3 linked regions of the Schizosaccharomyces pombe genome follow. Each later gene encodes a partner of the first gene's protein in a complex. Each region holds a gene or a part of one and is shown in the gene's direction. Other genes may lie near its edges.

Region 1 (4,081 bases):
AAACCAAAAAATGTATGCTCCTTCTTCCTTCACAATTTACGAACCATGTAAAAGGGGAGTTTCTTTTCTCTTCTTTAAATGTTTCTTTGTTTACTTTTACTGGTAAAATCGAACCCTTTTTTCTAACTTTTTCTTTTTGTAGCAAATTCGCGTGGAGGATTTGGACCTTCCCAAGCTAAACACTTCTAAAAATCCCCAAACTAAGATTCAGAAAAAGGGGAAGAAGAAGGGGAAAATATTTGCTGAAACTAAGGTAATTCATTCTCACATCCATGTTCTTTCATTATAGATGTTGAAAATGCTTCCATTTACTCAACAAGTAATATTCAAAAACATTAAACAACAAAAATCTCAAGTCAGTGTGGTAGATGTTACGATGATAAATATCTCTCTATATAAATCCTACAAATCTTGTTTATAAACTTTCAAGGCCCTGAACCCTATTCTTCCGCATTCGTTCCTCTTTACCACCAGATCCGACAAATAAGGTTTTAAGTGAACTTGCTGCGCTTTTTGAGTCATGTAATCTAATTTTTGATCTGATTTGGTTTGTTTGTTTTTTTACTTTTTGATTTTAATTGATGGGCATTCCTTCATCTATTTATTCATTTTCCACATTCATTGTTCATTAACTAATTGCTGTTACAGGATGACCTTCAAAATATTCTCAATCAAGTTACTTATGAGCTTGACGATAAAATAAAATCTAAACTTCAAGTGGCTGTAAGTATTTCCATGAATTATTTTGATTTCAAGTTTCAGTCAATTTACTAACTATTTACGTTAGCACGAGCGCGAAGCCGTCTTTTCTAAACAATCTGACAGAAAAATCAGCAATAACAAAGCTGATAAAAAGACGGGTCGGAAAAACGAAAAGAAATGAGTTATTCAATTGTTATAACGACACTTCCAAAGATCCTTTTTTTCGTATTGCCTTTCAATTATTAATTTTTCATTTTCTTTTGGGATATCGGGTTCATTCGGTTTTTCGATGCTGTTAATTATTCATTATACAGACTACTAAATAAGTACAACCAATAACATTAAACACATAAGCCATTGCGTTTCAAATTTAAAAATAAAAAATCCAAGTAGGGGAATGCAAAATTCTTTTGTAAAACATTGACAGAAAATTATGCAACATCATATCACTTTTTCATACATACATTTATACGTGCAAGTACATCCATTGGAAGAAGTGCTGTCATTAAAAGCCTGAAAGTAATGAAAAGATTCGGCGAATTATATATTCGCTTTCTTACAGGAAATGTCCTACAAAATACTAATATGGTAGCTCCATTTAAAGTCACGAATTGAAATTTTGAGGCAGACTTGAAATTCTTGGTAGTTATGAATCCATGTGAAAAGTGTTTTGAATAGGCCATATAGCCCAGTTTTCGCCAAGAATCCAAAATAATTACCGATTTTTAGTTTGTCTGTAATGAAATGCTTTTCTGGTAGGTGCAAATTCACCTAATTTATGCCCGATCATATCTTCTGTAATTTTTACATTGGCATATGATTTACCATTATGAACCATAAATTGAGCACTAGAATTTAGTTAGTTAACGTCCACACTTGCTAAATACGAGTATCATACCCAACCATTCTAGGTAAAATAGTTGCAGATCGCACAGCTGTTTTTATAGGAACGTTTCCTTTAATACATTGCTGAACGTTGACACCGAAATCGACCACGTTGGGTCCTATAATGTCAGAATAACAGGTTCTAAATTATTTTCAAAACAAGTATATTTATATTCATTTACCTTTCCAGACTGACCGAGCTCTGGCTACACTAGTCCAAAACATGAGGTGAAATGTTAGAAAGCTAGTTAATTGCTAATGCAGCAATCGTTAATAAATGTGAGGTAGCAACCTGGTGTTGTTACTTCCACTTCGTTTTAACCATTGAACGAGGTGGAGGTGCCAAGTCCTACTCTCCAACTACCACTAACAGCGAATATTTGCATTTCTCGTCTGCTAGATTCGTATTAATAACAGAGATGGAAGGCTCTGATTTTATTTTGGTAGTTGACTCTTCCGTAGAGGAACAGGTATGTCGCTAATGACTCGGCGATTTTTGGTAAAACTTTTTTCAACTAACGAAATTTCAAAAGGTGGAAGAATTGGCTATGTATTTGGATAATCTTGAGGCTAATACCGATAAAAATGTACTTGCTCTTTGCCGAGAATATTTGGCTTCTGAAAATGTTAAAGAAGTTCTTAATCTGTTTCTGACTCGCTTGCCATTGTTGGCACAAGCACCTGAGAAAGGTAATGCAAAATAGTTTTAGGCTAGGAAATTAAAGAATTATTTTAATAAGTGCTAAAGGGCATTTGTTATATTGTTAGTTCTGAAAGTATACTATGAGCTGATGTGTTTGGTTTGCAGCTTTCCAAGTTTTCGCTTATTTTCTCTTCCATGCTATTACTAACACGAAACAGAACTCGAGCCTATTTTAGCCGTCTTTATTAATCTTATCCAAGAATCTGCTGCTTTCGAAGATCATGTTTCTAAATTTTGCCAAGCCTTAGAGCAGATTGCCGATCAAAACAACAATCTCACTCCTGCCATACTCAGTGTCTTAAGCATTTTATTTAATACGGCCGTCAAAGAACGTCAACACGCACGTTTAAGCATTCTTACTAGTGTTGTTACTCTCACTACCCGTTATTCCTTGTTTAGCACTCTTGCACCTAATTTGAAATACTTCCCTGACTGGCTTAAAGAAGCTGGTGTCAGTGTATCGGACCATCGGGCATTTAATATTTTTGTTTCTAAAGCTATTCAATCATACGATGATGAGCAATCATTTGCTTTCCTTTTGGAAGCCGTAAAAATGGACAACTCAACTGCTGACGAGGCGGTTCGCGAATTAGTTCAACGCGCTGTTAACAGCCCTAAGTACTTTTTCTTTGATGATATTGTCACCCTTCCACCCGTTCAGCAGCTTGAACAAAGTACTTTACAGTTACTTGGTATTTTGTCCGGCGGGATGACCGACGATTATGTAAGTTGGGTTGCCGAAAACCATGCTCATTGCCAACACCAAAAATTTGATGAAGATGCAATTGCACGTAAGATGAAACTTTTAACTATTGCTTCATTAGCTACCCAGGCTCCCAATAATACATTATCCTATGGTGATGTAGCCAAGAGTTTGAAGATTGATGAAAATGAAGTAGAATTATGGATCATTGATGTTATTCGTGCTGGACTTGTTGAAGGCCGCATGTCTCAGTTGACTAAAACGTTATCCATTCACCGTAGCAGCTATCGTGTCTTTGGTAAGCACGAATGGGTTGCTTTACACGAAAAATTAGCTAAATGGGGTTCAAGTTTACGTTACATGCTACAAGTAATGGAGCAACCTTTATCTAGCTTTACTATAGCCTCTAGCAAAAAGGGAAATAGAGACGGATCCGCGGTCACAGCCTCTGAATAGTTCATTAGAAAAATAAAATAGGATTCTGATCATTAAGTTTCACCTGTATTAGAGTTACCTTCAATTACGTGGACTTTAGACTAAAGATTTTCTTATAAATTTTAGGTTGCAGTACACTAATAAATAGCAGACCAAAAGCGAAGAAGTTCAAAGCAGCAATCACTTTCTTTGTAATTATGGATGTATCCGTGCAAGACTCTTTTTAACCAAGAGACTTCCCTAATTATTTCTGTCGTCAACTTAAAGAATTTTTTGTACACTAACTAAAAAAGTAACCTACAACTGTTACGTAAAATTGAGATTTTAAAAAAGGAAAGAAGATTGACTCCTAATTTTGCAAAATGATTAGCTTTATTAAATCTTTTGTTTATATCTAACAAATCTGTCAACATTCGTTTTTCCTAACGCATAAATAACTTTGACTTAACATACATATATCAAGTGTTGCTTACCTGACGTTACTTAAAAAATTTTTGTACCATAGCTACTGGCAAATTTAAGAGTTTTCGACGACTTGATAGTATTTATATTAGAAATCTTTATATTTTCTTTTGAAATACAAAAGCGGCTGTAAATAAATTATTCAACTTCTTAAATACTTGAAAGCAAAAGAATGAAGCTACTAACAGGTA
Region 2 (5,348 bases), on another chromosome or scaffold:
TACGTTTTCGATCTTGGCATTGAGCAAAGCTTTAAGCACATAAGAATTCTCGGATTTATAGGTTACTAAAGAATCACGAAGGCCTGCATATTGTGTATGGTCACCTTCTAATATTTCCAAAGGTTCGTCTATTTGTAGGTCTGGATGGAAAGATTTATAGGGAATCTCTTCTCTCGGCTGAAAAGCAAGTTCATCGGGTCTTAGAATATTTCGACCAGTAGAAGTAAGTCGGAAGGTTTGCATGAAAGCCTTTTACAAGATAGATTTACCATACTATCTTTTTTACATTTCTTTCATGGTGTAACTATATTTACGAGAAAAAGGTGCAATTTTGCTTAAACTTCAATAGTGCATTCTGCCGCTGATGATTAAGCAGAATAAGCGGGGGTAACGTGAATGACCGAAATAAAAAGATGATTGTAAACAGTTGAACTCTGAAATGAAAATAGTTTGGACATAGGAAGGGGTAAATTTATTCTTCCCGTTCTTTCTCTTTTTATATTTATTGGTGTTGTTTTCAAAGAAAACCAGAGGAAATTGGAAAGCGTGATTTTGCATTTTACGGAAATGTAAGAGTTACAATTATATACAGTTGATGTGAAAGTACAAAGATTTTCGAGATGCTTGATAAAAAGCCCTTTCAAGAATCTTTGTGAATAGTTTATAAGCTAATATTTTTGTACCCGCCATCAACGAATACTTCACTTAGTTTATTCTTCTAGAAGTCTAACATTTACACCAATCACAATTAAATTGCTTCATCAAAATGGGCCTCTAGAGTTTACCTAGCGTCGAAGAGATTGAGGACTTAGCGTTTTTTAACAAAAAAATCTTTCGGAATACATAGGGTTATGACCTCTTTATTATAATACTTTGACAAACTATATTCGCTAAATCTTTCTTCCTTTATTCAAGCTTTGAGTAAAAGTAATGCGAGTTTCTGCTACTTTTCAAGGATAACACTTTAAATTTTAGATTGGCTCGGAAAATATTTCGCTCAAACCACACTTCTTTCACTGGTAAGGTCTCAACGTTTATATAAGTTTGTTGCCAATTGTAAATAAGAGTTTAGACAATGCTACAAGTATAAAACAATGCATAAGCCCTGATGAGGAACTCAAGCGAGTATCGACTCAACGGCAATAAAGATTATTTTAAGAACTAACTAGTTTTATCACCAAATACATCAAACAAAGAATGGACTTGGTGATTAGCGTAGAAACAGATCTACGGCTAAAATTCCAAAACTATAACGGTACTAATATTTCTTGGATGTACATTGTGTAACGATAGTAATTAGTAGCGGCAACAGAAAAATCTGACTACTATCCCATAAACGTTCAAATAAAAGCAAAAATAGAGCTTTCCTCTGTTCTAAACTGAACTGGTATTTTTTAAACAAACATGATAGATTAACGAGTATGTTAGCACTTCACACTAGGCGATCTATTCAAATTTAGTCATATTATCGTATTCGGTAAACCACTAATTTCTTTGCACAAAAAGTGATGCTTATTCAAGTCAAACCTAAGAAAGATATGAACAACTAACTATATATATATGCATGTGCTAACATTTTTTTTTGCAAAATCAAGAATTAAGTACCTCTTGTTTAGTGGCTTATATAAAACTGCGAGGTAGCTCGCTATTCGTGTAATAAAATTTTACTACGACAAGGGGGAAGTTTTCAACTGCACAACATGGCACCTCCTCAAGGAAAGCCCGAAAATGTGCTAAGGGTATGTATTATGAGTTTTTTACTTACTTTGACTAACATAAATTAGCTTGCCGATGAGCTGATAGCTCTAGATCAGCACAGCTCAGCACTGCAATCTCTTCATGAGACTATAGTTTTGAAAAGATCAAGAAACGCGCAGGGGTTTTCTCTCGAGCCTATTATGATGCGTTTCATCGAACTTTGTGTTCATTTACGCAAAGGAAAAATTGCAAAGGAAGGCTTGTACACCTACAAGAACGCAGTTCAAAACACCTCAGTTACCGCTATTGAGAATGTAGTCAAGCATTTTATTGAACTTGCTAATAAAAGAGTTCAAGAAGCTCAGGAGAAGGCAGACAAGATATCAGTTGAATATGTTGACGATCTTGAGGCTACTGAAACTCCCGAGAGCATCATGATGTCTTTGGTTTCGGGAGACCTTTCCAAGAGCCGCACAGACCGTGCTTTGGTCACTCCATGGTTGAAATTTTTGTGGGATGCTTATCGTACAGTTCTTGATATTTTGCGTAATAATGCTCGTTTAGAAGTAATGTATCAGTTAATTGCTAACTCTGCATTCCAATTTTGCCTCAAGTATCAGCGTAAAACCGAATTTCGCCGTCTATGTGAACTCCTTCGGTCCCATCTTGGCAATGCTTCTAAATTTTCAAACGCTCCACACTCTATTAACTTGAATGATGCTGAAACTATGCAGCGTCATCTGGACATGCGTTTCTCTCAGCTAAACGTTGCTGTTGAGCTTGAACTCTGGCAGGAAGCTTTCCGATCCATTGAAGACATTCACAGCTTGCTTACGTTCTCTAAGAGGGCTCCTGCTGCAGTCATGCTTGGCAATTATTACCGTAAATTGATTAAAATCTTTTTGGTTTGTGATAATTATTTGCTTCATGCTGCAGCTTGGAATAGGTACTTCACATTTACAAATGTGCAAAAACCCGCTACTGCTAATTTTGTAATTTTAAGCGCTCTCTCTATCCCTATTATTGATGCCAACAAATTATCGGGCCCTTCCATTGAGGCAGAAGATGCCAAGAGCAAGAATGCTCGTTTGGCTCTTTTGTTAAACTTATCGAAAACACCTACGCGTGAAACATTAATTAAGGATGCCATTTCTCGTGGCGTTCTTTCTTTCTGTGATCAGGCTATCCGTGATTTGTACCAGATTTTGGAAGTTGAGTTTCATCCATTGAGCATTTGCAAAAAACTTCAGCCTATCATCAAAAGATTGGCAGAAAGTAATGATACTGCTCAATACATTCGTCCTTTACAACAGGTTATTCTTACTCGTCTTTTCCAACAACTGTCTCAAGTTTATGATTCCATTTCATTGAAATATGTTATGGACCTTGCTACATTCGAGGAGCCTTACGATTTTAACCCTGGTCAAATTGAGAAATTCATTATGAATGGTAACAAGAAAGGTGCATTTTCTATTCGTTTGAACCATATTGAAAATTCCATTAGCTTTTCTTCTGACTTGTTTTCTAATCCCATTAAGTCTTCGGATTCTGTTTCTCTTCAATCTACTCCATCTGAATTAATTACATCTCAACTTACGCGGATTGCCAAATCCCTTTCTAGTGTTTTGATGCGTTTTGATACCGATTTCTGCCTTTTACGCAAGCAACAAGCCGAGGCTGCCTACGAAAGGGCTCAGGCTGGTGTTGAACAGGAGCGTAAAGCGGTCATTGCTCAGCGTAGTCTTCTCGAATTACGTCGTGGACAGGCTGATACACTTGCTACTCAACGTGAAGCTGAGCTTGCTGCTCAACGCGCTCTCAAACAAAAGCAAGAATCTGAAGCCGAGTCTCTCCGCGTTCAAGAAGAAATTAATAAACGTAATGCTGAAAGGATTCGTCGTGAGAAGGAAGCTATTCGCATTAACGAAGCTAAAAAGTTGGCCGAGGAGCTCAAAGCTAAGGGTGGATTGGAAGTCAATGCCGAAGACTTGGAGCATTTGGATGCTGATAAATTGAGAGCTATGCAAATCGAACAAGTCGAAAAGCAAAATAAGAGTATGAACGAACGTTTGCGTGTTATTGGAAAGCGTATCGACCATTTGGAACGTGCTTATCGTCGTGAAGCTATCCCATTGTGGGAAGAAGACGCAAAACAACAAGCCGAACATGACCGCGAAATCTTTTACGAGAGGGAGAAACAACGCAAGGAAGTACAAGAGCGTAAGCATGAACAAGCCATTAAAGACAAAAAGGCTTTTGCTCAATTTGCTTCCTATATTCATGCCTATAAGCAAAATATTGACGATGAACGTGATAAAGCATATCAGGAGGCATACGCCAAAGCTAAAAATGTCATTGATGCAGAGCGCGAAAGGCAACGTAAAGAAATTTTCGAACAAAAATTGGCTGAGGCTATTCGCGAAGCTGAAGAGGAGGCTGCTCGTGCTGCTGAGGAAGAGGCAAACCGTGAGCTTCATGAGCAAGAAGAAGCTCAAAAACGTGCTATCGAGGAAAGAACTCGTGCAGCTAGAGAAGCTAAAGAACGCGAACAGCGCGAAATGGCTGAGAAATTGGAACGCCAAAGACGTATTCAGCAAGAGCGTGATGAAGAAATATCTCGTAAGCTTGCCGAGAAAGCAGCTGCTAGAAGAGCAAATATTGGCGCATCTTCACCTAGTCCTGGTGCTTGGAGGCGCGGCGGTGCTAGTGCTGGCGGTGTTTCACGAGACTCTCCAAGGTATTCTCGTGGTGGCTACTCTCGTGGTTCTGTTCCTCCTCGTGAGACCCTTGCTCCTTCTAAGGGAGCATATGTTCCACCAAGCAGACGTAATCAACAACAACAGTAGTAAACCTACTGTCTATAAGAAAATAAACCTGTCGACAATTAATTATTGTCGCAATTGGATATTGGAGTCAAGTCTTTACGATGCATTATCTAATGTCACAGCTGATAAATTTAAATGAACTAATGTGTTCTCCTATTGAAAGTTGTAAGTTCCTTTTTCTTACAAGGGTAGTTGGTTACTTTCATGCTATTGGAATTCATGAAAGCGGTTATGTGTATAAAAAGAGCCTTTTGTAGCTCTATTTAATAGATAATTATCGTTAACCTTTGAACTTTTTTTAATTTGTATAATACTGCTTAAAGCTTGACTTGTTAATTGTAAATGTAGAACGATACTAATCGAATAAAGATGTTACATGTCAAGTTTATAAGCGACGATGAGTTTTTACAGTTGACGTTTCTGTAGTATGCATTTCTCATTTCAATAATTCTGAATACAACGAGTGAAGAAATAATTCATTAATTATTAGCAACGTGTTTTGTATTAGTACCAAAAAGGTTAAGCAGCTTAAAATATTTGTTTAAAGACACTCAAAGTAAAAAGGTTTCTTGGTGAGAGGCACGACAATTTGTTACCGCAAATAGACTCTTCGCTAACCACCATGTTCAGAACGACCAAAAGTCGAGTAGTTGAAAAGAATCAAAATTTTTCTAGTGCTAGTTTTGAGAGTTTAAGTTATCCTACGCGACTTAATTTTTATAAGAAACCTCCTGTCTCTGAAATAAGCATTGAAGAGTTTGAAACATGGGCAATAGACCGATTAGTTGGTATGCTTTCCATTTTCTTTATTATTTTCTATTCTTT
Region 3 (4,064 bases), on another chromosome or scaffold:
TGCCCATGCTTTGGAAAATGCCAACGACATTTCTGAAGGCGTTTTGAATGATTTTTTGAAAAACTTTTTGGAACTCAATTTGCCGAAAGCCTCAAAGAAGAAAAAGGTGTCTCTGGGAGTCCAAGACAAAAATTTAGCAACGTCTATTAAATCCGAAATTGATGCCATTGAATGTGACACTTCTGAGCTTACCCAGGATCTTCTCCGTGGTATTCGTTTTCATGGTGATAAACTTCTCAAGCAACTATCACCCGGTGATTTCGAAAGGGCTCAGCTTGGTTTAGGACATTCATACTCTCGCGCAAAAGTGAAGTTCAATGTTAACAGAAATGACAACATGATTATCCAAGCTATTGCTATCCTTGATCAACTTGACAAGGACATTAATACTTTCGCTATGCGCATGAAAGAGTGGTATTCTTGGCATTTCCCTGAGCTTTCGAAGATCGTTGGAGACAATTACAAATACGCTGTTATTGTTACACTGGTTGGTGATAAAACCACCATTAACGACGAAATGCTTCATGATCTGGCAGCCGTTGTAGACGATGACAAAGATATTGCTCAAAGTATAATCAACGCTGGTAAAGTGTCTATGGGACAAGATATCTCTGAAATTGACCTCGAGAATATTCTATCTTTTGCTGAACGTGTTATTAAACTTAGTAATTATCGTAAACAGCTACATAACTATTTGGTTCAGAAGATGAATGTTGTTGCTCCCAATCTTGCTGAATTAATTGGTGAGATGGTTGGTGCTCGTTTGATTTCTCATGCCGGAAGTCTAACTAACTTGTCAAAATGCCCGGCTTCTACGGTACAGATTCTAGGTGCTGAAAAGGCTTTGTTCCGTGCTCTGAAAACCCGTGGAAACACGCCTAAATACGGTATTATTTACCATTCTAGTTTTATTGGAAAAGCTGGCGCTAAAAACAAAGGCCGCATCTCTCGTTTCTTGGCTAACAAATGTTCTATTGCTAGCCGTATTGATAACTTTAGCGATGCCCCAACTACGGCATTTGGTCAAGTTCTTCGTCGACAAGTCGAGGAACGTCTCAACTTTTTCGATACCGGTGTCGCCCCTACTCGCAATAGTATTGCAATGGCAGAAGCTTATGAAAAGGCATTATCGAGTGTTAACATAGACGGAGACGAGGAGGTTGACATTGACGTTGAAGAGACTGTTGAAACCATTTCAGAAAAGCCGAGCAAGAAAGAAAAGAAAGACAAGAAGGAGAAGAAAAAGGAGAAGTCTAAGAAAAAGCGTTCTGCCGATGATGCATCAGAAGAAGTCAAGAAAAGTAAGAAGAAAAAGAAGAGCCATTGAGACGTTATTTTTATTAGGATATAACGGGGACCATATTGCTCTTGCATATTTAGAACAACTTGTAATTGAAAAATTTGCTATAGATTATGGGCGTAAATACTGTAATATTACTAAATCGATTGATATCGAGCTTATCATTTTGATGGATGGACGTGTAAAACTTATCTCTTAGTAAGCATTTACATTTTATTAAGTAGCATTTATGTATTATTCGTATAAGAAGTGCTATTTATATCGAAAGTTAAAAAAATATTAGAAACCAGTATTTGACAATAATTACAATTTAAGTAAAGATCAAGAATCGGATAAAAATTTGTCTTACACATTGATTTACATTAGCTGGTAGTAAGTTCGAGCTTAATTAGTTTTATGAAAAACTATTGGTTAAAAAAAGCAAAAATATCATTAAGGAATTTAATATTTTTTGTACGAACATTGCTGACCTACTATTGTCATATTGCTTTTCAGTACTGTAGTCTAAGGGGGCTACTACTAGAGTTTTGGGTGAGTTGTGCTATCCTCCCCACACCACGCACTTTTTTTTTGCGTGAAACATATCAGATATGGGATCCGAGCTTAAGAGTACAAGCCCTTTAGGTAAGCTAATTTAGATTTATTTTTAAATACAGGAGAATGTTTTCTAACCTTTATAGCGGTCAAGTATGATTTGTCGCAAAAAATTATGCAACACCTTGACCGCCATCTCATTTTTCCTCTATTGGAATTTTTATCTTTAAGACAGACTCATGATCCAAAGGAGCTTTTACAAGCTAAGTATGATTTGCTTAAAGATACCAATATGACTGATTATGTGGCCAACTTGTGGACTAATCTTCATGGGGGTCATACCGACGAGGACATGGCAAATGCTTTTGCTGAAAAGCGACGCAGTGTTTTGCAAGAGCTCTCTGAACTTGAAGAAGAGGTTCAAGGAATTTTAGGTGTCTTAGAAAATCCTGACTTGATTGCAGCTCTTCGTCAAGATAAAGGTCAAAATTTACAACACCTACAAGAACATTACAACATTACCCCTGAACGTATAGCTGTTCTTTACAAGTTTGCTCAATTTCAATATAATTGTGGAAACTACGGTGGTGCATCAGATTTACTTTATCATTTTCGTGCCTTCAGTAAAGACCCTGAATTAAACGCCTCCGCGACCTGGGGTAAATTTGCTTCTGAAATTTTGACTGTTGATTGGGATGGGGCTATGGAGGAATTGGGAAAACTTCGCGAAATGGTGGACTCCAAAAGCTTTAAAGATTCTGCTGTTCAATTGAGAAATCGAACTTGGCTCCTCCACTGGTCCTTGTTTCCTTTGTTTAATCATGCAAATGGTTGTGATACTCTTTGTGATTTGTTCTTCTATACTCCTTATCTCAACACCATCCAAACCTCTTGTCCCTGGCTATTAAGATATTTGACTGTCGCTGTTGTTACTAACCAAAATAATGCAAATCAAAAACCTCGTAACCCTAGGCAATCTTATCAAAGAAGGATGCGAGATCTCGTACGCATCATTAGCCAAGAAAACTATGAATACAGCGATCCTGTGACCTCTTTTATTTCTGCTTTGTATACTGAGGTCGACTTTGAAAAAGCTCAGCATTGCCTCAGAGAATGTGAAGAGGTTTTGAAAACCGACTTTTTTCTCGTATCTTTGTGCGATCACTTTTTGGAAGGTGCTCGCAAATTACTTGCTGAGGCATATTGCCGTATTCACAGTGTCATAAGTGTTGATGTGCTTGCTAACAAGCTGGAAATGGACAGTGCTCAATTAATACAACTTGTTGAAAACCGTAATAATCCTTCAGTTGCCGCAGCTTCTAATGTAGCTGCCGATCAAAGTACTGAAGATGAAAGTATTGAATCTACCTCTACAAATGTTGTTGCTGATGATTTAATCACGGAAGCCGAAACTGCTACTGAAGCCGAAGAGCCCGAACCCGAGGTACAATTTGGGTTTAAAGCTAAGTTGGACGGTGAATCAATAATAATTGAACACCCTACTTATTCAGCTTTCCAACAGATTATAGACCGTACAAAGTCATTAAGTTTTGAAAGTCAAAACTTGGAGCAATCTCTTGCTAAAAGCATTTCGGAGTTAAAGCATGCTACTGTTTAGACAAGATTAGCAAATAGTTTAAAGGTGGAATATATTTCATACATTAAAAATAAAACATAGGAGTTTAATTAATTCGCTAATTTTGTATTTTCAAACAACTCGTTATTGTAGAAGATGACTGTGTACTTTCCTATTTAAAGAAACGTGCTCATTGAATATCGCTATTAGTATATTAATTTTGGAAATTTGAAACATGCGGGGATATTAAAAAAATATATATTATCTAAAATTTTTTTATTTTCTGAAGTGCATAAAAAATAAATAATTAATGCAAAAGTATTAATGCCGCTATCTCAACATGTAGAAAATGTGTCGGTGGAATTAACTTATGTATATATTAAATTGCTGTAATAATACTAATCCAATTGCATTAAATTAAATTTCCCTAATTGATAGATAAATAAACGATGCTGCAACGGTATTACCGTAATTTAATCGAAAGACTCGCTACAACTAATATGTAAGTTTGGTGTTTAAATTTCATATCAAACCAGTACACCACGAAAGCTTGAGACAGCATCCGTTTCCGTGCCACCAACATTTATCAACGCAAAGATATCTCTTGAAAAGAATAGATTTTTGGTCAGTAGTAGGACCAGGACCTAAAGATGC

Evidence for each region. Proteins that work in one complex are often made in the same cells at the same time.
Region 2: tif313 (region 1) and tif301 share a complex: the UniProt entries of both Schizosaccharomyces pombe proteins name them as parts of the eukaryotic translation initiation factor 3 (eIF-3) complex.
Region 3: tif313 (region 1) and int6 share a complex: the UniProt entries of both Schizosaccharomyces pombe proteins name them as parts of the eukaryotic translation initiation factor 3 (eIF-3) complex.

What each region holds. Positions count from the first base shown.
Region 1 is NC_003424.3:384,338-388,418, forward strand, and holds tif313 (translation initiation factor eIF3m), read left to right. Parts: upstream 1-1,945; 5' UTR 1,946-2,006; coding exon 2,007-2,057; exon of another isoform or gene 2,058-2,120; coding exon 2,121-2,277; intron 2,278-2,448; coding exon 2,449-3,449; 3' UTR 3,450-3,519; downstream 3,520-4,081. Other genes in the region: pre-ribosomal protein Loc1, read left to right, coding at 1-12, 143-253, 649-723, 788-883; rsm19 (mitochondrial 37S ribosomal protein uS19m), read right to left, coding at 1,418-1,550, 1,601-1,706, 1,770-1,812; methyltransferase complex regulatory subunit Trm112, read left to right, coding at 4,063-4,078. UniProt on the Schizosaccharomyces pombe protein: Component of the eukaryotic translation initiation factor 3 (eIF-3) complex, which is involved in protein synthesis of a specialized repertoire of mRNAs and, together with other initiation factors, stimulates binding of mRNA and methionyl-tRNAi to the 40S ribosome.
Region 2 is NC_003423.3:3,312,638-3,317,985, forward strand, and holds tif301 (translation initiation factor eIF3a), read left to right. Parts: upstream 1-1,693; 5' UTR 1,694-1,700; coding exon 1,701-1,739; intron 1,740-1,784; coding exon 1,785-4,544; 3' UTR 4,545-4,815; downstream 4,816-5,348. Other genes in the region: histone acetyltransferase complex subunit Nto1, read right to left, coding at 1-243; DNA primase large subunit Spp2, read left to right, coding at 5,146-5,311. UniProt on the Schizosaccharomyces pombe protein: RNA-binding component of the eukaryotic translation initiation factor 3 (eIF-3) complex, which is involved in protein synthesis of a specialized repertoire of mRNAs and, together with other initiation factors, stimulates binding of mRNA and methionyl-tRNAi to the 40S ribosome.
Region 3 is NC_003423.3:938,088-942,151, reverse strand, and holds int6 (translation initiation factor), read left to right. Parts: upstream 1-1,843; 5' UTR 1,844-1,890; coding exon 1,891-1,924; intron 1,925-1,980; coding exon 1,981-3,452; 3' UTR 3,453-3,531; downstream 3,532-4,064. Other genes in the region: U3 snoRNP protein Nop56, read left to right, coding at 1-1,327; oss1 (oxysterol binding protein), read left to right, coding at 4,061-4,064. UniProt on the Schizosaccharomyces pombe protein: Component of the eukaryotic translation initiation factor 3 (eIF-3) complex, which is involved in protein synthesis of a specialized repertoire of mRNAs and, together with other initiation factors, stimulates binding of mRNA and methionyl-tRNAi to the 40S ribosome.